7 linked regions of the Macaca mulatta genome follow. The protein of the gene in region 6 purifies or fractionates together with the protein of the main gene of each other region. This does not show direct contact. Links are inferred from orthologs where the notes say so. Each region holds a gene or a part of one and is shown on either strand. Other genes may lie near its edges. The genes, in order: CREB1, PALS1, USP9X, PARP1, DDX17, YAP1 and PDLIM7.

Evidence for each region.
Region 1: the proteins of YAP1 (region 6) and CREB1 purify together in Homo sapiens (affinity purification with western blotting, with the first as the bait; 3 studies listed by BioGRID). This does not show direct contact. The link is inferred for Macaca mulatta from reciprocal best matches to the Homo sapiens genes YAP1 and CREB1.
Region 2: the proteins of YAP1 (region 6) and PALS1 purify together in Homo sapiens (affinity purification with mass spectrometry; 6 studies listed by BioGRID and IntAct, counting the BioPlex papers as one, with this or other methods). This does not show direct contact. The link is inferred for Macaca mulatta from reciprocal best matches to the Homo sapiens genes YAP1 and PALS1.
Region 3: the proteins of YAP1 (region 6) and USP9X purify together in Homo sapiens (affinity purification with western blotting; 3 studies listed by BioGRID, with this or other methods). This does not show direct contact. The link is inferred for Macaca mulatta from reciprocal best matches to the Homo sapiens genes YAP1 and USP9X.
Region 4: the proteins of YAP1 (region 6) and PARP1 purify together in Homo sapiens (affinity purification with mass spectrometry, with the first as the bait; 3 studies listed by BioGRID). This does not show direct contact. The link is inferred for Macaca mulatta from reciprocal best matches to the Homo sapiens genes YAP1 and PARP1.
Region 5: the proteins of YAP1 (region 6) and DDX17 purify together in Homo sapiens (affinity purification with mass spectrometry; 3 studies listed by BioGRID and IntAct, with this or other methods). This does not show direct contact. The link is inferred for Macaca mulatta from reciprocal best matches to the Homo sapiens genes YAP1 and DDX17.
Region 7: the proteins of YAP1 (region 6) and PDLIM7 purify together in Homo sapiens (affinity purification with mass spectrometry; 3 studies listed by BioGRID and IntAct, with this or other methods). This does not show direct contact. The link is inferred for Macaca mulatta from reciprocal best matches to the Homo sapiens genes YAP1 and PDLIM7.

The regions. Positions count from the first base shown.
Region 1 is NC_133417.1:112,863,871-112,867,370, reverse strand, and holds part of CREB1 (cyclic AMP-responsive element-binding protein 1), read right to left. Parts: intron 616-3,500; coding exon 471-615; 3' UTR 451-470; coding exon of another isoform or gene 415-450; 3' UTR 1-414.
Region 2 is NC_133412.1:140,407,796-140,412,061, reverse strand, and holds the start of PALS1 (protein PALS1), read right to left. Parts: upstream 2,801-4,266; 5' UTR 2,711-2,800; exon of another isoform or gene 2,552-2,710; intron 2,226-2,551; exon of another isoform or gene 2,103-2,225; intron 1-2,102. UniProt on the Homo sapiens protein: Plays a role in tight junction biogenesis and in the establishment of cell polarity in epithelial cells.
Region 3 is NC_133426.1:40,965,861-40,970,145, reverse strand, and holds the start of USP9X (ubiquitin carboxyl-terminal hydrolase 9X), read right to left. Parts: upstream 2,801-4,285; 5' UTR 2,520-2,800; intron 2,160-2,519; exon of another isoform or gene 1,493-2,159; intron 1-1,492.
Region 4 is NC_133406.1:84,145,320-84,148,819, reverse strand, and holds part of PARP1 (poly [ADP-ribose] polymerase 1), read left to right. Parts: intron 1-1,176; coding exon 1,177-1,293; intron 1,294-1,944; coding exon 1,945-2,121; intron 2,122-3,500. UniProt on the Homo sapiens protein: Poly-ADP-ribosyltransferase that mediates poly-ADP-ribosylation of proteins and plays a key role in DNA repair.
Region 5 is NC_133415.1:13,039,060-13,042,559, reverse strand, and holds part of DDX17 (probable ATP-dependent RNA helicase DDX17 precursor), read right to left. Parts: intron 2,639-3,500; coding exon 2,497-2,638; intron 2,053-2,496; coding exon 1,892-2,052; intron 1,809-1,891; coding exon 1,636-1,808; intron 1,116-1,635; coding exon 1,005-1,115; intron 756-1,004; coding exon 694-755; intron 1-693. UniProt on the Homo sapiens protein: As an RNA helicase, unwinds RNA and alters RNA structures through ATP binding and hydrolysis.
Region 6 is NC_133419.1:103,075,980-103,079,479, forward strand, and holds part of YAP1 (transcriptional coactivator YAP1), read left to right. Parts: intron 1-511; coding exon 512-705; intron 706-3,500. UniProt on the Homo sapiens protein: Transcriptional regulator with dual roles as a coactivator and corepressor. Critical downstream regulatory target in the Hippo signaling pathway, crucial for organ size control and tumor suppression by restricting proliferation and promoting apoptosis.
Region 7 is NC_133411.1:186,479,743-186,483,947, reverse strand, and holds the start of PDLIM7 (PDZ and LIM domain protein 7), read left to right. Parts: upstream 1-1,405; 5' UTR 1,406-1,482; intron 1,483-1,850; exon of another isoform or gene 1,851-2,280; intron 2,281-2,466; 5' UTR 2,467-2,477; coding exon 2,478-2,573; intron 2,574-4,205. UniProt on the Homo sapiens protein: May function as a scaffold on which the coordinated assembly of proteins can occur. May play a role as an adapter that, via its PDZ domain, localizes LIM-binding proteins to actin filaments of both skeletal muscle and nonmuscle tissues.

The sequences.
Region 1 (3,500 bases), on a different chromosome or scaffold from region 6:
CATGTCAATTTGGCAATCAACACTTCTTCATTGCACCTTACTTACTTTATGCATGCGGCCCACACATTACTTCAGCTCAAGAGGCTGGGGTAATTCTGTCCCTAAGGCAATCAAGGAGCTCAGCACAAACCTTGAAATCATTTTAAAAAAGATTTTCTTTTCCTCATTTCTCCCATCAATTTACAAGTAAACAAATTATTACTTCTTGAGGAGGGTGGGGGTTGAAAAGCAGAAGTCTCTTCATGATTCCTGGCGTTGAAAATTTCTTGAGGGGAGAAGTGGAGGCAGGTGTTGGAACATTCACAGTTTAATGCAAAAGCACAAATGAATGAAATTCTGTAGTTGCTTTCAGGCAGTTTTGCGCATAGAAAAAAAGAAATGTTTAGAAAATAAAATGTTTATTTTGTCTTTCAGGTTGTGGCCAAGCCAGTCCATTTTCCACCTTAACAGGTGAAAATTTAAATCCCAAATTAATCTGATTTGTGGCAGTAAAGGTCCTTAAGTGCTTTTAGCTCCTCAATCAATGTCTTGTTTTGATTTTCAAGCACTGCCACTCTGTTTTCTAAACATTTCACATATTCTTTCTTCTTTCTACGACACTCTCGAGCTGCTTCCCTACAAGCAAAAGATGGGAAAAATAATGCAAATGATTTCCACATATTTATTTTGGATTACCTTTTTTTTTTTCTTTTTTAAAGAAATAGCTCACAGCAACCAACATTTTAGTATATATTAAGAATTGGAAAAGATATACAGAATGACTTGGAAATTACCTTATATTAAAAATTTTAATCTGGCCAGGCGTTGTAGCTCACGCCTGTAATCCCAGCACTTTGGGGGGCCAAGGCAGAGGGGGATCACCTGAGGTCAGGAGGTCAAGATCAGCCTGGCCAACATGGCGAAACCCCTCTCTACTAAAAATACAAAAATTAGCAGCATGTGCCTGTAGTCCCAGCTACTTGGAAGGCTGAGGTGCGGGCATCGCTTGAACCTGGGAGGCAGAGGCTGTAGTGCGCTGAGATTGCGCCACTGCACTCCAGCCTGAGTGACAAGAGTAAGACTCCGTCTCAAAACAAACAAACAAACAACTCCATAAACAAATAAGACCTAAATGACCACTTAAAAATTATACCTCTCACTATTAAGATATTCTGCATAATTCCTGCAAAACTTGAAATTCTATCCATATCAACAACTAAGAAAACATTAAAGCTAAATTTCAATGTGTAACAATCCTTTAAATAGAAAATCTTACAAACTAATCATTTCAGGGCATTTAAAAAATCTAACAGTCTCTTCAATAAATGGTGCTGGGAAACCTGGATATCCACTGCAAAAGAATGAGGTTGGACTTCACCTTATGTCATACACAAATATTAACTCAAAATAGATCAAAGACCTAAACATAAGACCTAAAACTATAAAACTTCTAGAAGAAAACCTCTCTGACATTGGATTTGGCAGTGATGTCTTAAATACAATACCAAAAGCAGAGGTAACAAAAGCAAAATAGACAAATAGGGCTATATCAAACTAGGAAACTTCTGCATATCAAAAGACACAATAAATAGTAAAAAGGCAACCTACAGAATGAGAAGAAATATCTGCAAATCATGTATCTGCTAAGGGGTTAAGATATAGAATAGGCAAGGTGTACGGCTCATGCCTATAATCACAGCACTTTGGGAGGCTGAGGTGCGAGAAATCTCTTGAACCCATGTGTTCAAGACCAGCCTGGGCAATATAGTGAGACCCTATCTCTATAAAAAATATTTAAAAAATCTAGCCAGGTGTGGTGGCACATGCCTGTAGTCCCAGCTGCTCAGGAAGCTGAGGTAGGAGGACTGCTTGAGCCCAGGAGGTCTTAGGTTGCAGTGAGCCATGATCCTGCCACCTGCATTCCAGCCTGGGCGACAAACCAAGACCCTGTCTCAATTAAAAATTAGTTAGGTGGTGTGTGCCTGTAGTCTCAGCTACTCAGGAAGCTGAGGTTGGAGGCCGGGAGGTCGAGGCTGCAGTAAGCCATGATCATGCTGCTATACCACAGCTTGGGAGACAGCTAGTAAAACGCTGTCTCAAAATAAAGGAAAAAAAAAAAAGATCTAGAATATATAACGAACTTTTGAACTCAACAGCAAAATAACCCAATTTAAAAAATGGGCATAGGGACTTGAACATAGATTTCTCCAGAGATATATAAATGGCCTATAAAAAGATGCTCAACATAGACCGGGCGCGGTGGCTCATGCCTGTAATCCCAGCACTTTGGGAGGCTGAGGCGAGTGGATCACGAGGTCAGTTCAAGACCAGCCTGGCCAACATGGTGAAACCCCATCTCTACTAAAAATACAAAAATTAGCTGGGCATGGTGGCGGGTGCCTGCAGTCCCAGCTACTTGGGAGGCTGAGGCAGGAGAATCGCTTAAACCCGGGAGGTAGAGGTTGCAGTAAGCCGAGATTGCGCCACTGCACTCTAGCCTGGGCAACAGAGCAAGACTCCATCTCAGGGGGGGAAAAAAAAAGATGCTCAACATCACAAATCATTAGGGAAATGCAAATCAAAACCACTAGTTATCACCTCACAACCATTAGGATGGCTACTATCAAAAACCACCACCAGCAGAAAATACCAGTTGTTGATGAGGATGTGAGGAAACTGGAACTCTTGCATACTGTCGGTGGGAATGTAAAATGGTGCAGCTGCTATGGAAAATGGAATGGAGGTTCCTCAAAAAATTAAAAACAAAATTTACCATATGATCCAGCAATTCTACTTTTTCCTACATATCCAAAAGAATTGAAAACAAGGTCTCAACACCTGTGTTCATTGCAGCATTATTCACAATAGCCAAGAGGTGGAAGCAGCCCAAATGTCCATCAGCAGATGAGTGGTAAGCAAAATGTGGTATATACATACAATGTAATATTAATATTATTCAGACTTAGGAAGGCCCTCTGCATGCTAAAACACAGATGAACCTTGAGGGCATTATGCTAACACAAGCTAGTCTCAAAAAGACAAATATTGTGTAATTTCTCTTATGAGGCATCTAAAGTCAATGATATTCATAGAAACAGGACTTAGATTGGTGGCTGCCAGGGGCTTGGGGGAATGAGGAAATGGGGAGTTGTTGTTTAATGGGTATAGAGTTTCAGTTTTGCAAGATGAACAAGTTCTGGAAATCTGCTGCACCACAATGTGAATGTACTTAACACGACTGAACTGTATACTTAAAACTGATGAAGATGGTAAATTTTGTTATATTTTTTACCATGATTAAAAATAATATTATTTAAAAAATCTAACATAGATTAAAAATAATTAAAAATTGTTCTTTAGCAAGTTACTCAAACTAAACCACTAAATTATTTTTTTAGCTCTGTGTGGTCAAGGGCCACAATCTTGTTACTTAAATCTTAATTTTCTGACTGTAAAAAAGACATGGTAATATTTTCTACCTCAAAAGGTTTGTGAGAACTGGTGTGGTGGCTCACCCCTGT
Region 2 (4,266 bases), on a different chromosome or scaffold from region 6:
AAGGCAACTTACTGGTTTAACAATAAGACATCCTGAGAAGAGCAGTGAACTTAGAATATGGAGACAAGCATTTTAGCATTCATGTAGTTCCAAGTCTGCCACTAACTAGCAGTCAGACTACGGATTACTTAACTCCTTCAACCCTCACTGTCTTTTTCGTGGAAAATGAAGAGGTTAAGATTACTTCTAACTCAACGATCCTATGATTCAGTAAATATATGACCAAAAATTATAAAGGCCGGGTGTGGAGGCTCACGCCTGTAATCCCAGCACTTTGGGAGGCAGAGGCGGGCGGATCATGAGGTCAGGAAATCGAGATCATCCTGGCTAACACGGTGAAACCCCGTCTCTACTTAAAAAAAAAAAAATACAAAAAATTAGGTGGGCATGATGGCGTGGGCCTGTAGTCCCAGCTACTCGGGAGGCTGAGGCAGGAGAAAGGCCTTAACCCGGGAGGCGGAGCTTGCAGTGAGTCGGGATCGCGCCACTGCACTACAGCCTGAGTGAGATATATGTGTGTGTGTGTGTGTGTGTGTGTGTGTGTGTGTGTGTGTATTCTGGCGGGGGGTGTGTGTGCGTGTGTGTGTGTATTCTGGCGGTGGCCCACGCCTGTAATCCCAGCACTTCGGGAGGCCGAGGCGGGTGGATCACCTGAGGTCAGAAGTTCGAGGCCAGCCTGGCCAACAGGTGAAACCCCGTCGCTACTAAAAATACAAAAATTAGCCGGGTGTGGTGGCAGGCGCCTGTAGTCCCAGCTAGCTGGAAGGCTGAGGCAGGAGAATCAGTTGAACCCGGGAGATGGAGACTGCAGTGAGCCAAGATCGCGCCACTGCACTCCAGCCTGGGCAACAGCGAGACTCTGTCTCGCAAAAAAAAAAAGAAAAAGAAAAAGAAAAGAAAATTATATTGTAAAGCACATATGTCAAGACACTATTTTTTCTAGACACTCTGAAATCAGAAAATATCAGAGAAACAGGGCATCTCAGTATAACCTATTAAATTGATCAAGTTTCTTGGAATGTGTGATAAAATTTTATTTTTTAAATTTTTTCCATGACAGCCCTCAGGAGATCCTGAAAACATGTACCCCGTGATGAGATTTTTAATCAAAACCATAATTCAAGATCATGTAAAAGCTAAATCCACTGTACTGACTTGGGTCACCCTCAGGAAGAACTTATATATTCTCTCCCGTTTTAACATTCTAAAACAAGTTAATGTTAATCAATCCACCTTAACTTGTCAAGTTCAAGTCCGTCTAGCCAAAAGTAATTCAGGTACATGGTAAAATTTACTCGATTTTTAAAGATTAAATAATGAATTGCTTTTCCTACTGTTGCCTTTTTTATCTATAAATCTCTTACATTATAATTTAATAGCTCATCCTACTGCAAATAGAAAGCCTATAAAACCTATCCACAATACGCTATGTCCACAGGGATCTAGTAAAAAAAAAAAAAAAAATCGGTAGTTCTTAATTCAAGGACGCTTATTTAATAAGTTTCATTACCACCAATACTTTAAAGACACCAATAACCAACACGTCATTTGTTCCTACTGCAGAATTTAACAGGTTATTAACTTCTGGTAAAATCCAAAAGCATAATTAGTAAACTATCATTAAAACATGATATTGTTTTTTTAAAAAATCGGAAATATTAACACCTTTCACTGTGTCAAATCAAAATTTCAAAATTTTTGTTCAACTGACTTTCCGAATCTAAATTTTTACTATTCTAAACAAGTATGGAGACAAAACACACACTCTATACTACGTCTAAAATCTTCCCAATCATCAGATTTTAATTTTAGCATAAACTGCCAAGAAAAACCTTTCGACCGAAACTTACATTCCATACACATTACTGTACGTCAATCAACAGAAGGTGAGTTATGATCATTAGAAAGTTACATAATTTACTACAAAGATCGTTTCAAGCAACCTTCATTAAACATAGAATACAACAATGTACAGGCTTCAAATTCAACGTGCAACCTTAAATTATCAGAAACCATCAACAAAATTAGGCTTTTCTTTAAAACTGGTCACAAGGAAGCAGGAACTGTTTGCCTGTTTAAGAACGCAATAGGCAGCAGAATACCAGCAGCTGAGTCAGGCAGAGGAACGCTGACTACATTCTGACTTCTAAAGGAAAGCGTTCCCTCGCCGGATTCCCAGACCCGGCCGGGGGGAGTCCCGCGCGTCGCGACATCGGGGCGGGAGCGCAGGGGGCAGACGACTCCCCGCCGCGCCCCCTGCACCTCGGGCCCGGCTGGCTGTGGCCCGCGCCAAGGTGCATGCCCAGCCAAGCAGAAGGAGCGGGCACCGCGCAGGCAGCGTTGCTCCGAGGGACAAAGGTTGGGCTCACACCCTCCACCGCCGAAGCTGCCGCGCCTGAGGAAGCCCGCCTGGCGGCCCGGGGTCTCCCGCTGGCCAGAGTTTGAGCGGCGTGTGGGGGAAGGGGAGCCCGGCCGCCCCTCCCCCGCCGCGCTCCCGGGGACCTGTTGATTAAGATCTCCACAGCCCAGCCGCCGCCGAACCACCTCTTACCTCCGCGCCTCGGCTCCGCGGAGCCTCCCGCCCGGCTGCTCCTAAGCACTGCAGAAGCGACAGCTCTCCGGCGGCCCTTAAAATACCGGATAAAGAATCCAGAAACTCCCGACTCCCCACCTCAGAATCCTTAGTCCCCGCCCCCGCCCCACCGCCAACCTCCTCCGTCGCCGCCGTCGCCGCCGCAGCCGCCAGCAACTCCACTTCTAGACCGCGCGAGACCGGCCCCTGCGGCCGCCGCGAGACCGCGCACGCGCCCCCGGGACTCTGGCGCAGCGGGCGCGCGGATCCCAGTCCCACCCCGCCCGTGAGAGGCTGGCGCGGCTCGCCCAATCCCGAGCCGGCGCGGAGAGAGCGCCCGGTCATTGGTCCTCTCCACAGCTCCCGCCGGGTGCGCGCAGTCGCGCGCCTCTAAGTCTAAAACCCGGGCTGCTAGGAGCTGGCTGTCCCTGCGGAGCCGCTTCGGGGTTTGGCCCGCGGGCTGTGTGGGGACGCGAGGCTTCCCTGGGTTTCTACATCCCTTGGCTGTTCTGTCTCTGGATGACGGCTCCTGAAGAAAATCCGAGTCCTCCTGAAGAGATTCCTCATGTCCTGTCTAGTTAGTCTCACAATCTAACATTTCTTTTTTTAAAAAAAATGACGTAAACACCTGGATGTGTGCAGTGTTCCACAGAAGACTCCAGAAAGCCACCAGCAGCACTGACTTCTGAAAACCAGAAAGCAAGGATGGCAAGGACTAGAACTATTTCCCAGAAGTCTCCCGAAGGGACAGAGAGTTACGCAGACCAGCCCATGTCCCGGGCATGGCTGGCGCCCTCGGGACCTGGATGTGCCACCCTTGGAATGGGGCAGGGCTCTGGCGGGTGCGGGCGGAAGTCAGAGCAGATTGGAGTACGTTCTAAGGAGAAATACCAGCAAATGTGTCTCGACACTTGCAATAAAAGCCCTCGGATGGTCTCTGTCTTGACAGTACCTTCCGAGGAAGCCCATCCCACCTTTGAACCCTTGCAAGGTTTGTTAATCGACCTCTCCTTCTATGAGGCCAAAATATGCTTATGATTCCAGCCGAGGTGTACGGTTTCCCCCAGGGGGCATAGTCCTCCCTCAAAGCCTTCGTATATGCCATTTCCATTTCTCTCGGTTTTCCTCATTTTGTCCCACTGTGTTTTTCCATCTCGCAACGTCCTCAGGTCCTGACTTTCAAGTTCTTTCACATTCTTCCCCATTACGCTCCTCTGGACAGCCTATGGATTGTTAGTGTCCCTCACTAAGGACACTGTGATGCTCTGAACGAAGCAAACTATTGTTCGTGGTGGTGAAGATCTTTGGGGATGCCTACCCTTCCCAGATTTGTTATCCCTCTCAAATCTGATAAGCATTCTGTCCAAGTGTTTAATAAGACAGAGCTGAGGACAGAAGTCTGCTGTATGCCACTAAAGACCTTAATGCTCCTGTCATCAAAAAATTTCTCAGTAGGCTTCGAATACAGATGGACGACACAACCGAACTGTCTTCTTGGCCCATATTCCTCCACAAAGATGCCAGAACTGGCGAAATGCCTAACTGAAATCCAGATAAAGTCTCCAGGATTCCTAGAAACTATTAGCCATACCCCAAAAGGAAAAAAACGGTTAGTGTGTTTGACTTACTTCCTTTTCTAAGTTCGTTTGTTTTTGTTTTTGTTTGAGAGGGGGTTTTGCTCTTTTGTCCAGGCT
Region 3 (4,285 bases), on a different chromosome or scaffold from region 6:
ACGATAAAGTTTAAAGGGTTAAAGTTAGATGTATGACACAGCACATTAGTTTAAAAATTGAGAAAAAGAATGTTGACATTTTTTATATTTAATACATAATTCTTCAAGAATTTGAAGGCATTTGCTGAAACCAAAATGGCAGCCCAGCGAATTAGAAGACCAGCGAGATCTAAAGGAGAGTTTGTAGTCTCTATTTTTAAGTTCAAGTGTACTAACCAGCCAAGCTAGTCATGGTGAAGGAGTTACCTAAGGGTAATTAGCTCCGAGAGGGTTAAGTACCTGCTGGAAAGTTTCCTAATCAATGCACCCCAAATTATTCCCCTCAAAAGTGAAAGTATACATACGTTAGGTAGATTCAGGGACTCATGGGTTTCCAGGTAAAAGAGCGGCACACACACTTCTCTCGCCGAAAAATAAAGTATGAATAATCTATACCTACAACTTGCTTAAACTAAAAGACAATCTGAAACAATTATATACACCTGTAAACTACACCGTGTAAATTCAATTAACGTTATAACTATGGAACTTCCAAAAAATAACATGCTTAATTTAAGCAGGTTCTACTAGAAATTTTGCAAATTCTCGTGTAAGTTCTAGTCGCTACAGAAATCCACACAAATAATTGAAGAAGCCATCTATACACCTGCTCTATATAACTCTGTAACTTATTTCACAATGAATGAAAAATCAGCCATTTATCCAACCCTAAGCCTCACGTCACAAGAATCTGAAGATCTGATCACTAATAAACTCGCACATGCTAATATTTGCAGAAACAGTTAAAAATAGAAAGATAATAGGTCCAAGCTAGCTTGGAAGCGATTTCTGCACTCAAAAACCCCTTTCACGGCTTTGGCCCTCTGCAAATTAAGCGGGGTTAAGGAAGTGTAGGAGGCCGATAACCCAGCTCCGACTCCAGGAGCCCAGGGCCGGGGAGAAACTGCGGGTTATCGCGGGAGGGTGGGGGGAGGCGGACAAGTCGTCAGGCCTGATAGCCAGGCGTAGCCGAGGCCTAGCTCCCCGACTCCAAATCACTCCACCTCAGTAATGGCGTTTGGTGTCAAGTGGAACCAGACCGGGCAGGAAAGCGGCCGCCGGGCCGGGGGCGGCCAGCCCCCAAACCGACCCGGGCCCCGGGTGCGGACGGCGGGGGGGCTGCCCGCCACGCCCGGAGACTCCATCCTCCTACTCGGCCCCAGACAGGACGGGAAGGGGGAGGAGGGGGAGGGACGGAGCCGTCAGCCATTTTCCCTTACAGTCCAAAACACACAAGACACGCTCTCGGGACACCGGCTCCACACACAACACGGCCCCGCGCGCCCGCCCAGCCCGGGCCGGAGGAGGGGGAACGGGGAAGCCCCGGCCCGGCCGGCAGCCGCCGAGGGAAGAAGCTCACACACACGCACACCCCCCTCGCCCTCCTCCCCTCACCCACATCCAGCTGTTGGCCCCGGGAAGGCGCGTCGCCCCGGTGCAGCTGGCCACTCACCGCACGACACAGACGTCTTCTCAGAACCAGGGCACGTGGAGGCGGGAGGCAGCAGGCGACGCTGGGGCTCGGTCTCGGGACAAGACCTACCCTGGGTGCATCCCAGGCCCGTGGGTGACCGGCAACAAAGTGTATTGAAAGGCTGCGGCGGCCGGGCTCGGGGCTGAGGGCGTCTCAACCAAAAGGCTGCACACCCGGCGCCGGAACTCGCTTCTCGCCGCGCCCGCCTCCTCCTCCTCCTTGGCCGGCTACGGCCCTCTTCCCCCTTCTCCCCTCAGGCTGGGGCTCTCGCTGAGCTCAGACGGGCTCCGGGCGGTGCGTTTCTCCTGCGTCACCTCCTCCTGCTCCTCCTCCTGCAGCGACGGCTTCACCTTCCCCTAGTCGCCGCCTCTGTCCCCGTTCCGGGCCTGGTTGCTTTGCAACAGCTCTCTCCTAGCTCCCGGCGCCGACCCAAGCACCGGGCGCTAAGGCGGCCGCCTCCCGCGAGAGAGAGGCGGCGGCGGAGGGCTCCCGCGAGGCCCGGGAGCTGTGCAAGGCGGGGAGGGGCTCGGCGCGGCAGAGGCCCTGACGGGGCCGGGTGCGGAGAGGTTGCGGCTCCGGCGGCGGCGGAGACTAGCGTCCGCAGCCGCGGATGCCCGTCCTCGTCAATATGGCGGATCCGGCAAACCAAAAAAAAAAAAAAACCGCTCGGCCAGTGGCGGCGGCGGTAGCGGCGACGGCGGCGGCAGCAGCGGTGGCGGCGGCGGCGCAGACTCCCACTAGCCCCAGAGCCGCCCAAGACCCGAAGTTCTCCGCCCCCGTCAGACCCCGCCCCTCTCAGGCCCCTCCTTTCGGGCCTCCCCCTGCTCCTGCCCAGCCCCCTCCCGCTCAGCTGCCCCCTCTTCTCCCGCCTCCACCCCGGACCGTCAAGGCTGGGAGAGCAGCGCGAGCCGCCGAGGGGGCCGGGCTTGGGCGCGAGCCGCTGGGAACCCGGAGAGCTAGGGTGGGGGAGGGGAAGACAATGCGGTAAAGATTGTTCGCGCAGTACCGTTTCTTCCGGCTGGCCCCTTCAGGGTCGTGCTACCGCCAGAAATCCTGTTCCATGCCCCTCGGCTCAGGAGCGGGACGAGGGCAGAGGTGGCTCTAGGACCGAAGTTGGGGAAGGGAGGCCCGAAAAGATCTGGCACACCACGCCGGAGGGGCTGGGCGGCAGGGACTGGCGGGGTGTGCGGTCACGACGGGGTTAATCGCGTGAGCCGCAGCCGCGTCGCTCATAGTTTGACTCTGGCCGCTTGTTTTTGTTCCATTGTGAACCGTGGCCCCACCGACAAGAACCCGGATGATGACGTCACCGGCCTCCCCCTTTTCCGGGATCGTGGGGGGAGGGGCGCGGAAAGATGAGATCCCGAGACCACGCGCTGGGCTGTCGCCGCCGCGGTGCCTGGAGGTCCCGGCGGCGCAGCTGACCCGCGTCACGTGACGCACGAGCTGGCCGGGCCACTGGGCTGCGGGGGCGCGAGGTCCCGAGGGCCTGGCCACCTGCTTGGCGCCGATAGGGGGAAGGTGTGGCTATCTCCTGCAGCGGAAGGAGGGGGCGTGGGGAGTGAGGTCCTTTTCCCCACCCCGCGAGGGAGGTGCTCTGGGAAACACTTTCACACGATCGCGCAGCATCAGTACTTGAAAGCGTTTAGGCGTCCTCACAGCGTAACTGACGGGACTGACAACCTTGTTGGCTATAGGAGCCCTTCAAACAGACCAGGAAAGAAAAAAATTATAAAGTACCCCAGACGGCTTAGCGAATAGGCCGTACTTGATATGGCAAGATTAGCCTCCATTGCCAGATCATCAGCACGATTCGGTGTTAGAACCCGGAAGAAACTTATGAACCCATCCGCTGTGTCATGGACTATTTTCTACATGTTTATATTCCAAAGTGCAGGCGTAGGAAAAACTTAGGCTAATCTCAAATTAATGGGGTGCTTGGAACAATTCTATACAGTCTGCCTAGGATGCCCAAATGAAGAGGAAATTAACAGTTCCTAATTTACAGATTTCCTTTTGACTTAAAACTACCTGTGGACATCAAATGGCATGCAAAATCATAGTAAAACCTTACAAAACGAGATCTATTTTATAGAGAACAGGGTTGAATTTAGTTATGCTATGATTATATCAGTTTGTAATAAAAGACTGTTAAAAATGGAACCAAACTAATTTAGGTGACAGTGAAAGCAAGTTATTGGTATCTTAAATTTTTAAACCATTTCTCTATTTAGCACTAGATTGTTTACAAATTTTTCACCACAAAATTACCTAATAGGGTATCCAAGATACATCATTCATAGCCCTAATAACTCTTAGCATATGTTACCTTGTTTTTGTAATTATTTCCATGAATCATTTGCTTACCCACTAGCTCATGGGCTTCTAAAAAGTAGACACGACCACCCGTGTACACTGTAGGCTGTTATCTTCGATTTTAGATAAGGAAACAGAAAGGGTAAATGATTTGCCCAAGGTCAGGATTGGAAAGTGTTGAACACTGGTCTTTTAACCCTATCAAAAGTGCACCTTTAACAAGGATTGTCCCCTCTCACCAATTCTGTTCAATATTGTACTTGCAGTTCTAGCCTGAAAAAGAAATGAAAGACATCCAGATAAGAAAGGAACAATTAAACTATCGCTACTTTCACATAACATGATTTTATATATAGAAAATCTTGGGAAATCCACTATAAAAAAAACCTAATAAAGCCAATAAGCAAGTTCTGGAAACTGCAGGATATAAGATCAATATTTAAACATCAGTTATAG
Region 4 (3,500 bases), on a different chromosome or scaffold from region 6:
CACGTCTCCATTCCTGGTGTCCCGGCGTATGCTGTGTGCAACGGAGAGGAGATGTCGAGGGAGCCCTTAAAAATGAAGCTGGGAAATGGAGCAGACGTGTGTGCCTGCAGCTTCACCAGGGGAGTTAAAATCCTCCTTTGGTACTAACAGCAACCCTATAGGATATGATAGGGCTGGCGTTTTTGTCTCCATTTTACAGAGGTGGAATCTGAGCAGAGATGGTTAATAACTTGCTTATTTTCCTGGGGAAGGAGGAGACTCCCTCAGACTTTAAAATGGAGAGGCTGATAGCTTCCTCAGCAAGCTTGATTGTTGTGAGAATAAATGAGATGAGGCCAGGCGCAGTGGCTCGCGCCTGTAATCCCAGCAATTTGGGAGGCTGAGGCAGGCGGATCACTTGAGGCCAGGAGTTTGAGACTAGCCTGGCCAACATGGTGAAACACCATTTCTATTAAAAATACAAAAATTAGCTGGGCGTGGTGTTGCACACCTGTAATCCCAGCCACTCAGGACACAGAGGCAGGAGAATTGCTTGAACCCAGAAGGTGGAGGTTGCAGTGAGCTGAGATCTCACCACTGCACTCCAGCCTGGGTGACAGAGTGAGACTCCATCTCAAAGAAAAAGAATAAGTGAGATGACACGTAAAAGCATCCAACCAAGAGTAGTCACTTTAATAAAGATTAAAACTTCCATTTTCAGAAGAGTTTAAATACATTGCTCTGTGATACTGAATATAATATACCATCAAGGAAATTAGTGTTTGTGAATCATTCCTACTCTAAGATTGGTGGAGAACAGCCATACCCTGCCTCCTCTAGTTGCTGATAAACGTGGGCCCTGGGCTCAGCCTAGCACTTCCAGGCTCTTACCTTGTGTCTCTGGGGATTGGTTTCTGAGAGTTGGTTCCAGGAGCCTTGGTGCAATCTCCCCCAAACCCTTAGGGCCTCCTCCTCACCTTCCACAGTATTCTCTGAGAGACCACACAGCAGGCTTAATTTGGTGTCCACAGGAGCATGACCAGGAGTCAAATCCTGTGCTGATCACCCAGGTTTGGAGTGGCAGCTTGCTGGTGCACCAGGGTATAACTGGAGGCTCAGCTTGACCGGGGCTCCTCCTCCAGTTGAATTCTTCCTTTGAAAAGAGCTGGCCTCTCAGCCACTGGGTCTTGTCCATAGGCTCAGAACGACCTGATCTGGAACATCAAGGATGAGCTAAAGAAAGTGTGTTCGACTAATGACCTGAAGGAGCTACTCATCTTCAACAAGCAGCAAGTGCCTTCTGGGGAGTCGGCGGTGAGCTGCCTTTGTGTTAAGTGGGACACGCATGTGAGGCTGACCCCGTCGTTGTGGAGTGACTGTCCCAATGGAGTGTGGGAGGCCCTCCGTGTGAACACCTGCTGGTATTAATTGCAAGGAGTATAAATCGTGGTTGTGTTGCACGGTCATCACCACCATCGTGGTCACCATTTTTCTGGGATGGATGGGGCCGGCATTCACATGCCCCACTAGACATCTTCCACATGTTAGTGCTTGTTCTAGAGTGCCAGGCCTGTGGAGTGAAGAGCCCCCTCCTGAGGGATGGCATGACGGCGTCCCATCAGTGTCCCCAGCTGGCCCTTCTCTGCTGTCATTCTTGGGAGTTGACTTGGCACTGTACTTTGTGCAATGCCAGTGGATGCTCTGGGCTCTCCCTTCATTTCTCAATCACTGAGGGATGGGGGAGCTGCAGGAACACTTGGAAATAAGGTCTCCTACTTTACAAGAATCCAAGCTCCTTTGTAAACGAAGGGCGGGGTGGGGTGTTAAGAGCCCCACAGCAAGCCCACAGCAAGAAGTCTCTTTGTAGAGAGTGAAATCTGTGCAAGTCCCTCCATCCCACATTAGTAAGTGTCCTTTTCTGTAGTCCCGCATTTGCCCTCTGATGTGTTTCTCCACTGGCTGCAGATCTTGGACCGAGTAGCCGATGGCATGGCGTTCGGTGCCCTCCTTCCCTGCAAGGAATGCTCGGGTCAGCTGGTCTTCAAGAGTGATGCTTATTACTGCACTGGGGACGTCACTGCCTGGACCAAGTGTATGGTCAAGACACAGACACCCAACCGGAAGGAGTGGGTAACCCCAAAGGTAAGGGGTGGGGGAAGATCCTGGGATCTGTTGGGAGAAAAACCTGGCCCCACTTTCTGCGCTTGTTCATACTTCAGGTCCCTGAGATTGCAGGGCCTTGTTCCTCAGACTTCTTTACAGCTATGTCATCCTGTTAACCAGAATATAAAATTATATGTTTGCAAACTACACGAATGTAGAACCAAAGCTCCTCTAAGTATGAACTGTCCATTTGGTGTAAAATGTTGCTTGCAAAGACCATAAATAATTTTTATTTATTGAATGCCTTCTATGTGCCAGGCACAGTTCTAGGCTTGAGGGACATATGGGGAAGAAATGGATAGTAATTCTTGCTTTCTGATACAAGTTTTTTTCAAGGACGTTTCCTTGCCTAGTGCCAGCAGAAGAATTGGATCCAAAGTTCACATATCTCCTAGTATTGCACGTTCTCTCTTTTTTTAATGGAACTGCTTATGGAATTCTCAACGCAAAATACCTCCACGGGGAACCCCCTTTGGAGCCATGCTGGTGGGGTTCTGGCAGTATCTTTGTGGGGCTGGCTGCTCCAAGGACCTCGCCTGTGCCCGCTCAGACTCAGCAGGATCCAGGCCCAGCAGCCTGGGTAGGTGCAGAGCTCTGCCACTCGCCAAGCTGCTTCCCTCGCTGTTGCCTGCTCCTAGGTGGAGCATTTGGAACAGCGGCACACAGTACACCCTCAGGAATCGTTACCCGAGTAACAGTCGACATTACTTGCTCTACACCTACAACTGAACTCCATTTCCACCAGCTCCTGACTCACTTGTTCACTGCCATGATTGCATGATCCCCCCTAATTTTCTCTGTATGCCTTTACTTGAGTGCTTCCTGTAAAATAAATCTGAGCTTAGCACTTCCCCACCCTTAAAATCTTATACTGATTCCCCGATTTTTCTGGGTATGCAAATCTTCCAGACCCTTATGTGGTATTTGTATTTCTTTTACTATCTTCGATGGGGAAATAGTAAGATGGCAGTAAGCAATGTGCTATCCCTTGTATTTTATATATCAATTTTTGAGCATGTATATACATTTTTAAAGGTTATGTGCATGTGTGAGACAAGTTTTCAGTCTGGCACTACTTGCTGCCCATGCAGTGACACTGTTGCCTCCAGGCACTTGTCCCACAGAATCAAGGCCAGCTCCGTAGCTTGTCCTCAGAGCCCTCTGTGATGCGGCTCTGCTGGCCATCTGCAGCCTCTTTCTGCCACCCTTTTCCTCCTTCTCACATACCCTTCTCCCCACCCCACCGCCAGTCTTGCTCATTCTTTTTAGAAGTACCTAGCAATAGGGCACATGTGCTACTCAGATGGCTGTGCTTAGGCAGTCCCCTGTGTTTTCAGCTCCCAGTGGGCTTAGCAGAT
Region 5 (3,500 bases), on a different chromosome or scaffold from region 6:
GTGACAAAGTTGAAAGAGCCAGCATCATGGACCATGAGCACATACTAAAAGTGCCCTCAGTAATTCAATTAACTATACAGCAGGGGCAAGACAAACAGGCCTTTGGGCCACATGTGGCACAACACCCACTTTTGCAAATAAATATTGTTGGAACACAGCCATGTTATCTCTGAGACATGGTCCCACTCTGTTACCCAGGCTGGAGTGCAGTGGCACGATTTTGGCTCACTCCAACCTCTGTCTCCTAGACTCAAGCAATCCTCCCACCTCAATCTCCGGAGTAGCTGGGGTTACAGGCGTGCACCACCAAGCTTGGCTAAGTTTTGTTTTGCCTTTTTTTTTTTTTTTTTTTTTTTTAAAGAGACAGTACTTCACTATGTTGCCCAGACTGGTCTTGAACTCCTGGGATCAGGTGATCCATGCACCTCGGCCTCCCAAAGTGTTGGGATTATAGGCATGAGCCGCCAACAGTGCCCAGTGTAGGCCATTTCTTTACATATTATCTATGGCCTACAGCTTTTGTCCTAAAACAGCAGCGCTGAGTGGCTATAACAGAGACCACCATTTGGTTTACAAAGCCAAGCATACTATCTGGCCCTTTACAGAAAGTTTGCCTATCCCTGAAATAGAGCATGGACATTCACTTATGGTGGGGACAAAAAAAAAAAATCAACAAAAAATGCTTAAACTTACCATTAAGTACCCAATCTCTTTCTGGTTGACTCTTGTCTCCATGGATACACATAGCTGGCCAACTATCAAAAGAAAAATAACCGATATTTAAAAAATATTTTAAAATGGGGAAAATCAAACTTTAAAGCCAAATGCTATAATGCAATTTTTTTAAGGTTTGTCAGGCTTCATGAATAGATGACTGTGCTCATTAAAAGAGCAAACTGCATGGATAGGCATTATTGAAATATTACACAGCATTTGGAATACCAATTTAGAAATTTCCAGTTAACTATAAAACCAGAGGTTAACTGCCTTGGTGCTATACTCACCCATCTCTGCGCATCCTTCGAGTCAGATCATCACAGCGTCTCTTTGTCTCCACAAATATTATTGTTTTGTTTTCCTTTTCAGCCATTATTTCTTCCATTAGTTGGATCAATCTGAAAACAAGACCAACAATGCAGTCATCACACAGAAAGTATCTATTATGTGGAAGATTATGTCTACAATATCAACTCCCAAAGCTATAGTACTTTCTTTGCACATTACGTTTTTAAAATTTTAAACCAACATTAATATGGAGTCCTGAGTCAGGTTCTGCTATGTGCTCAAGAAATACTAATTCATACCACTCATACCATCCTCACAGCAAGTCTCAAGTGAGTGGTATTATTCCCATGTCCCAGATGAAGAAACTGCGGCACCAAGACATAAAATTGTGCAAAATTATACAGCTGGTAATCAGCAGAGCTGAGATTCAAACTCAAGAATTCAGAATCCTTGCATTTAACCATAATGCTCTGACAAATGACATAAAGATGGATTATCAGAAAGTTAGCAATGCTTTTAATGCTTTCAGGCCTCAAAATATACTGGTTTCTGTAATACTGATTTTGGAGGGTTATTAATAGAAAAGGTTTATTGGTATTATCAAATCAGAGAGTAAAATCTCTTTCATACTTGTGGTCTTTTTCACTTTCCATGCAGACATCCACTATCTGGAGGATGTTGTGGTTGGCACTCAACTCCAGATTGCCTACGTTGATCTGGGTGTAATCACGAAGGAAATCCTCTGCAAGCTGTCTTACTTCTTTTGGCCAGGTTGCGCTCCACATCAACGTCTGCCTATCAGGCTATCAAAAAAGGAAAGGCTTTCTTTCAGGCTAAGGAGCTTGGACAAATGGCATAAAGACTGCTTATTATTAGTTTTACGCACCCTGATTTGGTCAACAATTTTACGGATCTGGGGTTCAAATCCCATATCAAGCATTCTGTCAGCTTCATCCAACACAAGGTAAGTACATCGGCGAAGATTTGTCTTTCCTGACTCCAGGAAATCTATCAGACGTCCAGGAGTGGCTATGCAGATCTCAACACCTGTAAAACAAAACCAATGATCCAGCAAATCAGCTAGGTGCAGTGCTCACACCTGTATTCCAGCACTTCGGGAAGTGGAGGCGCGAAGATAGCTTGAAGCCGGGAGTTCACAACCAGCCTGGTCAACATAGCAAGACCCCGACTCTACAAAAACGCAGCAGCACCAGCCCTGGTGGCTGTACTCAATGCTGCAGAGAAGCTAAATTTTAACAAAGTACCTGCAAAAGCATGATGTCGGGATTTATGTACAATCACCAAATCCTCACAAAGTTTCCAGTCATGTTGAACTTTCTCTAACAAAATAGTTATTTTGGTCACATGTGAGAATTTCTAAGCTGTTGAAATTCTCAGTTTTTCACAAGAACCCACTTTTTTCTCCAATTTCATCCACAGGAATTGGTAAAGATAAACTAACAATTCTTTTACACGATATTATTTTATTACCTCTTTCCAAGTCTCGAATCTGGGGACCTTTAGGAGCACCTCCATAAATACAAGTACTCTTCAATCTAGAACATTTGCCATAGTCATCGGCCACCTGCTGTACTTGCTGGGCAAGTTCTCTGGTAGGAGCCAGAACTAGACACTGAAATCAACAAAAAGACATTTGAGACCCCACCCAAGGTTTAAAAACAAACAAAAAAACCAAAAATCTTTGTTGTCTAATCTAGTACATTAAAAGTGATGGGGTGAAGATCAGAAGGAGGGAATATTAGTACAATGGAATGTAGAAGAAATTATTAGAACTTCATATTTAGCATTTGGAATGATACTGGTATCCTCGTCACTTTTACTATGACACATTATCAAATCATTATAGTTTATATGTACTTTTAAGTACGTATACAGATTGTATTACCTGATTTTAAGTATACAATTCTCATTTACAGGTTGAGCATCCTAAACCCGAAAAACCAAAATGTTCCAGCATTACTTTGAGAATCATATTGGTCCTCAAAATTTGGATTTGTTTTGTTTTGTCTCACTCTATCGCCCAGGCTGGAGGGCAGTGGTGCAATGTCAACTCATTGTAACCTCTGCCTCCTGGGTTCAAATGATTCTCCTGCGCCTCAGTCTTCTGAGTAGCTGGGACTGAAGGCATGCGCCACCACGCCCAGCTAATTATTGTATTTTTCTAGAGATGGGGTTTCCCCATGTTGGCCAGGCTAGTCTCGAATTCCTGACCTCACGTGATCTGCCCACTTTGGCCTCCCAAAGTGCTGGGATTACAGGTGTGAGCCATTGTGCCTGGCCTAAAATTTGAAATTTTGGATGGTCAACCTGACTTAAACTAGAAGTCACAAAACTGGCAGAAGGACACATTCCTGACCTCTAGTTTAAGCACTTCACCAGGTAGATAAGGCAAAAACAATGAAAATTTACATGTAATCTGACAAAACTGTGTACAATCTGGCCAAATAATACAAAAATCAAGGTATCATATACCA
Region 6 (3,500 bases):
GATGAATTTTTAATTACATTTTTATATTTCATAAGAAGTAATGAATTTACATCATTCACACTTCAGAAGTTATAAATAAGGTTCTCCAGCTTTGTCCTTTAGTCAGCTAGTTTCTCATCTCTGGAACCAAAAGATGTTAGTTGCTTCTTAGCTATTCATCAATTTTTATATTCTCTGAATATGCAATATATATTCACTCCCACTCCCTCCCCTCTTTTTTTAACACTTTACCTTGCTTTTAATTTAGTAAGTCCTTAGAAACTATTCCTTATCATCATTGCCTGTTAAAACTACCTCTTGTTTCTTTTCTCTTATGACTTCCTTGTATCTTGTGACAACAGTAATAATAATGTAGTCATTGTAATATTGATGGATTTTTAGGTTATTTCCAGTCTTCTTGCCCAGAAAAGCTACATTGAATATCCCAAATTGCTTTTGAATAATTAAATTATCATTTTCTCTTCCTTCGCTAGTTTTTTAGGACAGATTTTTTTTTTTCTTTTCATTTCAGCCATGAACCAGAGAATCAGTCAGAGTGCTCCAGTGAAACAACCACCACCCCTGGCTCCCCAGAGCCCACAGGGAGGCGTCATGGGTGGCAGCAGCTCCAACCAGCAGCAACAGATGCGACTGCAGCAGCTCCAGATGGAGAAGGAGAGACTGCGGCTGAAACAACAAGAACTGCTTCGGCAGGTGAGGCCACAGGTTAGAAACCAGCCTTCCACTTTTTGGGGTTTGTTTTCTTAAAGTTGGGCAGATTGCATTTTAACATTTATTAGTTACAGAGGAATGTTGTCTTTGTAAAACTGAGCGACACAGAAGCATTCTATCCAGCCCTGTCCTTGTCTTAGTTTCGTGACTGTGAATGGCCTTTGATCAGGTTTCAAGGGATGTGACTTGGAAACCTGTATCGTGAAGAGCTGTTTTGGTCATGGTCATTGCAATTGAGCAAGAAGTGAAGGAAGCAAGGATGCTTTCTCTAACCTACATAGAATTATGGATTGCTGTTTTTCTGAGGATTTCACTAAAGGGGAAATTCTAGAACATCACTTGGGAGAAAATATCCTTTATTAATAACTTATGTGGTGGGATACACCAATATGACATTTCTCAAATGAAATATACTTCAGTATTACCGAATCTAAGAATTTTCATTTAAAACAAAATAAATATTACCTTTGGCCAGGTGCGGTGGCTCACGCCTGTAATCCCAGCACTTTGGGAGGCCAGAGTGGGCAGATCACTTGAGGCCAGGAGTTCAAGGCCAGCCTGGACAACTTAGCGAAACCCCATCTCTACTAAAAATATAAAAATTAGCCAAGTGTGGTGGCGCACACCTGTAATCCCAGCTACTCGGGAGGTTGAGGCACAAGAATCACTTGAGCCTCAGAGGCAGAGGTTCAGTGAGCCAAGATTATGCCACTGCGCTCGAGCCTGGGTGACAGAGCGTGACTCTGTCTCAAAAATAAAAAAGTTATCTTCAAGTTTAGAAGATGCCAGTGTGCTTTAAAATGACCTGCTTATGGATGTTTTTTTATGTTGGGAAAAGTAGGACATAGCAGTAGAGAGCTTGAAGCCCTTTAATCACCATTTCTATCAGCTTTCTTCTAGAAGGTACTGTTGGTCTTTATGTTCCTCATATATATAATTAATGTCAACATTAATTTTTACTTATTTCAGAGTGGTTAAATCTAAGTTCAGATATTGGGGATAAGGTCTTTTGTTAAGTAGTGTAGATATTTTTTAAATTTCTATATAAAATTTTTTTGAATAGATAATAGAAACAAGGTATAATAGTGATAAATGTACAAAAGGTGAAAGTAGACTCAAAATAAGAGCTTTTCCCTGTTTTTCTGGTTCTCTCCTATGGGGCCTGAATAACTATGAGTTTCTTAGGTTTTTTGTTCATTTTTCCAGAGATACTCTGTTTACATACATAAAATACATGTATCTATGCTGTTTTTTCCCCACCTAAATCACAGCATGCTAAGTATAAACATTTAAAAATCATCATACTTGGTCAGGCATGGTGGCTCATGGTGGCCCATGCCTCTAATCCCAGCACTTTGGGAGACTGAGGCAGGAGGCTTCCTTGAGCCCAGGAGTTTGAAACCAGCCTGGGCAACATGGTGTAAGACCCTGTCTCTAAAAAAAAAAAAAAAAAAAAAAAAAACACAACTCTACATTTCCGTTACCAGGAAGTAGGCACTTAAAGGTCTGTTTTTTTTTTGTTTTTTTTTTGTTTTTTTAGGGCTATATTTTAAAAGTATCTCTTGAGTGTCAGTAAAAATATATGAACTCAGTACTACCTGAACTCTGATTTGGGGTTTGAGGAACTGGTATTTAAGGAGTTAAATTAAGCCATGGCTTCTGAGACAGGCTCACTTTTAAACTGTGCTTTGTCGGTAATCTGTCCATCTAGTGTGATTGGCATCAAAGGTAAACCCTGATAGAAGGAGTAAGACAGTATGTGCCAACATATGATGTCAGGAACTTGTTGGGGCTCAGAAAATGATGCTACAAAATATGATTCTTTGACAGACTAAACTAAGGAAGCAGCCTCAAGTTCTCTCCCAAAGCACAGGATGAGGCTGTTCTTTGAAGTTCCTTTATCTACCTAGAAACCAGACCCCCCAAAAAGGAATACAATTGCCGTTGATCCCCTCCCCAAAATTTCATTAACCAGAGAAGACTGAAACTTGTATGACAGAGGAAAAGACTAAAAATTAAATATCACACCTAGAAAGCTCAGAGGAACTTTGCCCAGACTATTGTCTGTTCTCAGATCCCATTCAGTTTCCAAAGAGAATTATTTACTAACCATTGTCTGAGCACTGGGCCCATTCATTCTTCCTACGAATCATTTACTGCCCTTCAAAATGGCCTCATTTCCCTCATGTTCCCTTCCCCTGTGAAGAAAGGTATTATATAGTATTTGGAACTTAGTTATTGGGTAATCATTCTCTTGCAATTTCCCCCATACTTGGGTACTTTAAATAAATTTGTATGCCCTTTTCTCCAATTAATTTGTCTATTAGTTCATTTTCAGCGAACCTTTAGAGGGCAGAGGGGAAGTTTTCCTTTTGGCCCCTATAAAGTGATCTTGAAAGAAATGTTTCTTTATCTGACATAAAAAAGATGGAGAAAGGAAGCATTATTGTACCTCTGACTTTCTAACAAATTACCATAAAGAAGATGTTTCACCTGCTATTGTTAGAACACGGTAGAACCATCAAAAATATAATTATGTGGCTAATAGAAAAAAATAAAGCAATTTAAAAATGTTTTATGTAACCTATTTTCATTGTTTTTCATTTTGTTGTTACCGAGTAGTAGTTGTTCTGAGTAAATACAGGTCTCAATTTCACTATGAATAAAAACTGTCAAAATCAAAAAACTAAAAAACAGTTCTTTAATTACTAATGTTAAAATCATACTGTTTTTAAGATAATTTGTAAAGTCTAGAAATGGGGCCATTCGCCATTTTGTTTTATGCCATA
Region 7 (4,205 bases), on a different chromosome or scaffold from region 6:
TTCCTGGGGAGAGGTCAGGCTGGCCATGAAACATGAGATGCCTTGGCATACAGGTGGTATTGAAAGCCACAGGACGGTACCGGGTCTTAGGGGGTGAGAATAAAGAGAGATGGCATCAGACGGCCAAAGCCAGAGGCAGAGGAGGATGGGGAGGAGGGGCCAGTGGGGCAGGGAGAAGCTGTGAAGTCAGGGAAAAAGGGTGTTTCGGGGGACGAGAATCCACCCGGACCCATGCTGCCCCTAGGAGGGGCAGGATGAAACTGAACCACCACGGATTCCATGGCCCGATGGCCTCCAGGTCACAGGTGACCTTGAGAAGAAAGATCTCAGGGGACCGGTGCGGACAAGAGCCTGCCTGGCATGGCTTCAAGAGATAACTGAAGGAAAGCAAGTGGAGACGCGATAAACAGACAACTCCCTGGAGGAATTTGACTTTCAAGAGCAGAATTAAAGGCTAGTAGTTGGAGAGGGATGTGGGGTCAAGAGAAGGTCTTTAACGATGAGAACTCTCACAGCGTTTTATGCAGAAGAGGGTGGGTGTGATGACTGTGGATGGAGAGGGGAGAACTGCAGCAACCATGTCCTAGGAGGAGCTGACCGGCCGGGACCACCAAGCGAGTGGAGGGTGGACGCCCCTTCCCTCACCCCGACACCCGCATGCTCTCAGTGTCCGCGCCGCGGGCCCTAGTGCCCGGGCTGAACGCGGGGCCGGGACTCTGAGGACGCCTCCCACGGGGCGCAGTCCGCTCTGGCCAAGGTGGAGCGGGACGCGGCGCTTCCGACGGTGTGCGGGTCGGGTCGGGGTTGTAGGGATGCGAGCGAGGGCAAGGCCCGAAGGCCAGGGACCCCCGGCGTCCGCTCCTGCCCTGTGTTCCTGCCTTCGGTAGAGCGTTGCGCAAATCAAGCTTTAAACGCCCCTGTCCCCCTCAACTTCCCCACCTTATCTCCTCCCAGGCCCTCTGATTTAGAAATCCTGCAGCCCCCGATGGTTGCACCTACGATACCGACCCTCGCAGCAGCCCTGCGAGGCGAGTATGATCGTCCCATTTTTCGGAGTAGCAAACTAAGGTTCAGAGACGACTAGGGCCCAGGTCGGTCTGGTTTGCAGGTCCGCTTTCCCCTCCCTCCGCCAGCGGGCGGTGCGGGGACTGGGCGAGGCAGCTCCTCCCTAATGAGGCGACCCGCAGCCCCGGCCCCGCCCCGACTCCGCCCCACTGCAGGGCCCGGGTCGGGGAGGCCTCTCAGCTCGCAGCCCGACGGGACGTGGTGATTGGGCGGGACGGAAGAGCTGGGTGGCGCTTTCCACCAACGGAGATCGTCTAGTGGGCGTGGTCACGACGAGGGCGTGGCCGTGTGCCCCGCCCCCTTCCGCGCGCTCAAAGTGGAGGGTGACTGCGGGGGCGGGGTCAGAACACTGGCGGCCGATCCCAACGCGGCTCCCTGGAGCCCGACGCCGAGCAGCGCACTGGCGGGGCCGAGCAGGTATCGACGACCGCGCGGGGCGTCTTGGGCTGGACCAGGCGGGCGCCTGGGGCCTGCTGAGGACCACAAAGGGCACTGGGGGTCGCGGTCCAGGCTGTGCTTCCTCCCGCGGGCCCTTGCCCCTGCCTCCGCCCCCGCCCCCGCCTTCCTGCCGCGAAGCCGGCTGCGGCGGGGCCGATTGGCGCCTGCGCTGCTTCCTGCGGCCGGGGCCAGTCTAATGCATGGGGCCCGGACGGGGGACTAGGGGGAAACTGAGTCACGTCGGTGTGGGAGCAGTTCTGTGTGGGAGGCACCATCCCCATTGGGCTCCGGGAAGGATCCCCCTCCAAGCTATGCTTTAGGGTCCCAGCCCCCACCTGTCTCCACAGGGGCCGCACCCCACTCCCGCCTTCCCCTTCTTCAGCACCCAGGGGTCCCGCCCTGGCTCCCAGCAGCCTCGACTGGTCCCGGAATGGCTGGGAGGATCCGCTGCAGCCGCCTCCCTCCCCTCCCCCTCGTGTCCCAAGCCCCCGTGTGCTCCCTGCGCTGGCTCTCCGCACAGTGTCAGCTTACACGCCTTATATAGTCCGAGCAGGCTCCAGCCGCGGCCTGCCTGCCGGGACCTGGGGGCGGGGGAGAGGAGAGCCGGCCCCTGACTCACCCGGCCGCCCGAGGCTCCAGGCTGGCTTGCGGGGAGGCCGCGCCAGTTTAGTCCCTCGGCCCACCCCTGGTTGAAAAGAACCTCCACTCTGGATTCAGGCACCCCTCACAGTTCCAGTCCCAAGGGGAGGGAGGCTGTTCCTGTCTTTCCAAAGTGAGGTCCGCCAGCAGCCCAGCCCAGCCTGACAAAATACCTGCCTACTATGGCTTGCGTGTGCTCAGGGGCTGCCCGTGCCTGCCTGGCCCCTGTCCAAGCCTGGTATCTTGAGTTGGGCCGGCCGGCCTGCCTGCTTGCCTGCCTGCCCACCATGCTGGCCACTCACCTCTTCTCTCCTCTCCTCTCAGGAGCCGGCATCATGGATTCCTTCAAGGTAGTGCTGGAGGGGCCGGCACCTTGGGGCTTCCGGCTGCAAGGGGGCAAGGACTTCAATGTGCCCCTCTCCATTTCCCGGGTGAGCCTAGGTTTGGGGAGGGGGCTCCCCCAGCGGTCTTTGGGTGCTCAGGTCTCCAGAGGGTGATGGGGGAGTCCTAACAGGAGCTGGTCAGGGGCTAGCAGGCCAGGAGATGTCCAGGTCCGAGATGTAGTGGTACCTGCCCGCTGCAATGACTCCCAATGAGGTGGATACTGGGAGGGAGCACCCAGGCTTCCCCAGTCCTGCACTGTACCGGATGCTGTTCTCCCAAGCTCCTGTGGCCACTTCTGAGGGCGGGAGGGAGGATCATTGTGCAGGATGGGAGCCTGACATTTCCAGGAGGTATCTAAACTTGAGGTGGCAATGCTTGGAGCCAGGCCCCAGGCAGGGCACTGTGACTGTAGGATTTCACTTCAGACACACTTCTGCCCAGGGAATAGCAGTCCTCATCCTGTTTTTCCAGATGAGAGAAGAACTCATGAAGAGGTGGAGGGGCTCGCTCATCGAGTCCATGTTGAAGCAGGGATTGGAATTGAAGCGCGGGATGGTGTGCATTTGTTGTGGGTGGAAGGGGTCTCTCCCCAGCCTATGTAAGGACCTGCATCCACCATTCCCATTCAGGACGTGGTGGCCTTTGACCCCAAGCAGAAGTGCAGGACAGGGCTCCTCTCTAGGGGCTTAACTTCAGCTTCCAAGAGCCTGCCCTGGTGGGGGTGGAGCTGAAGGCTGGCTCCTCCCTGTAGCAGGGGGATTGCCTTATAAGCCCAAGAATGCGGCCCCACGCTGGGATGGCCAACAGTGGCTGCAGTCTGCAAAGCTGAAAAGGGCTGGCCTAGGCCTGGCCCCCTGAACCCCACTGCTGGGCCCCTCAGCTGGTCATCAGGCTGCAGCTCCAGCTGTATGGTCCAGTTGTGAGACACAACAAATTGCCTGCCCAGAGTGGGTGAGGCCAACCTGTGGGCTGGCATCTCTGACTGGCCTGGGGGTCAGCAGGGGGTGGGGACTTCCTGCCCCTATATCCGCCTGCCCAGAGAGGCCCACCCAGGCGATGGGTGGGCAGGCAGCTGTTGTCAGGAAGCCCAGGGCAAGCCCAGCCTGGAAGGGCCCAGAGGGTTGTGGCCTGAGGAGGGCGTCAAGGTGGAGTCTGTCTGTAGGAGTTGGGCATGGGGGTTAGGGTAGGCTCTTCCCAGGGGTCCTTCCACGGTGTTCTCCGGGAACCTGCCCCACCAGCAGGGTAGTGAGGGCAGTGGTCGCCCTACCACACACATCCTCCTACACAGTCCTCACACAGCTCTGAAAACCCACCCGGCGTCCTGCCCCTTGGGAAAGTGCTGGCCCAATGCGTCTGGGGACCCTGAACCTCAGTTTCTTCCCTGATGGAGATGACTTTCAGATATGGCCTGTTGGGGGCACTCCAAGCTCCAGCTCCCTGGTCAGCATCCCCGGCATGTGGGTGGGGCCACTAGCTGATCCCAGCCCTGGAGTTGGACCTGGGCCCACATGGGTGGGTGAGGTGGGCTTTTCTGAGTTAGGCCAGTCCCCTCCCCCTCCCCTGACCCCAGGATGGAGGGAGATGGGAGGGGTGAGGGCTGGCCGTGGGCCCAGGCCTGGGAGATGAGGTAACGTCTGGGACTGGGGGGTTGGGCTGCTCAGGCTGACTCACCCCCACCT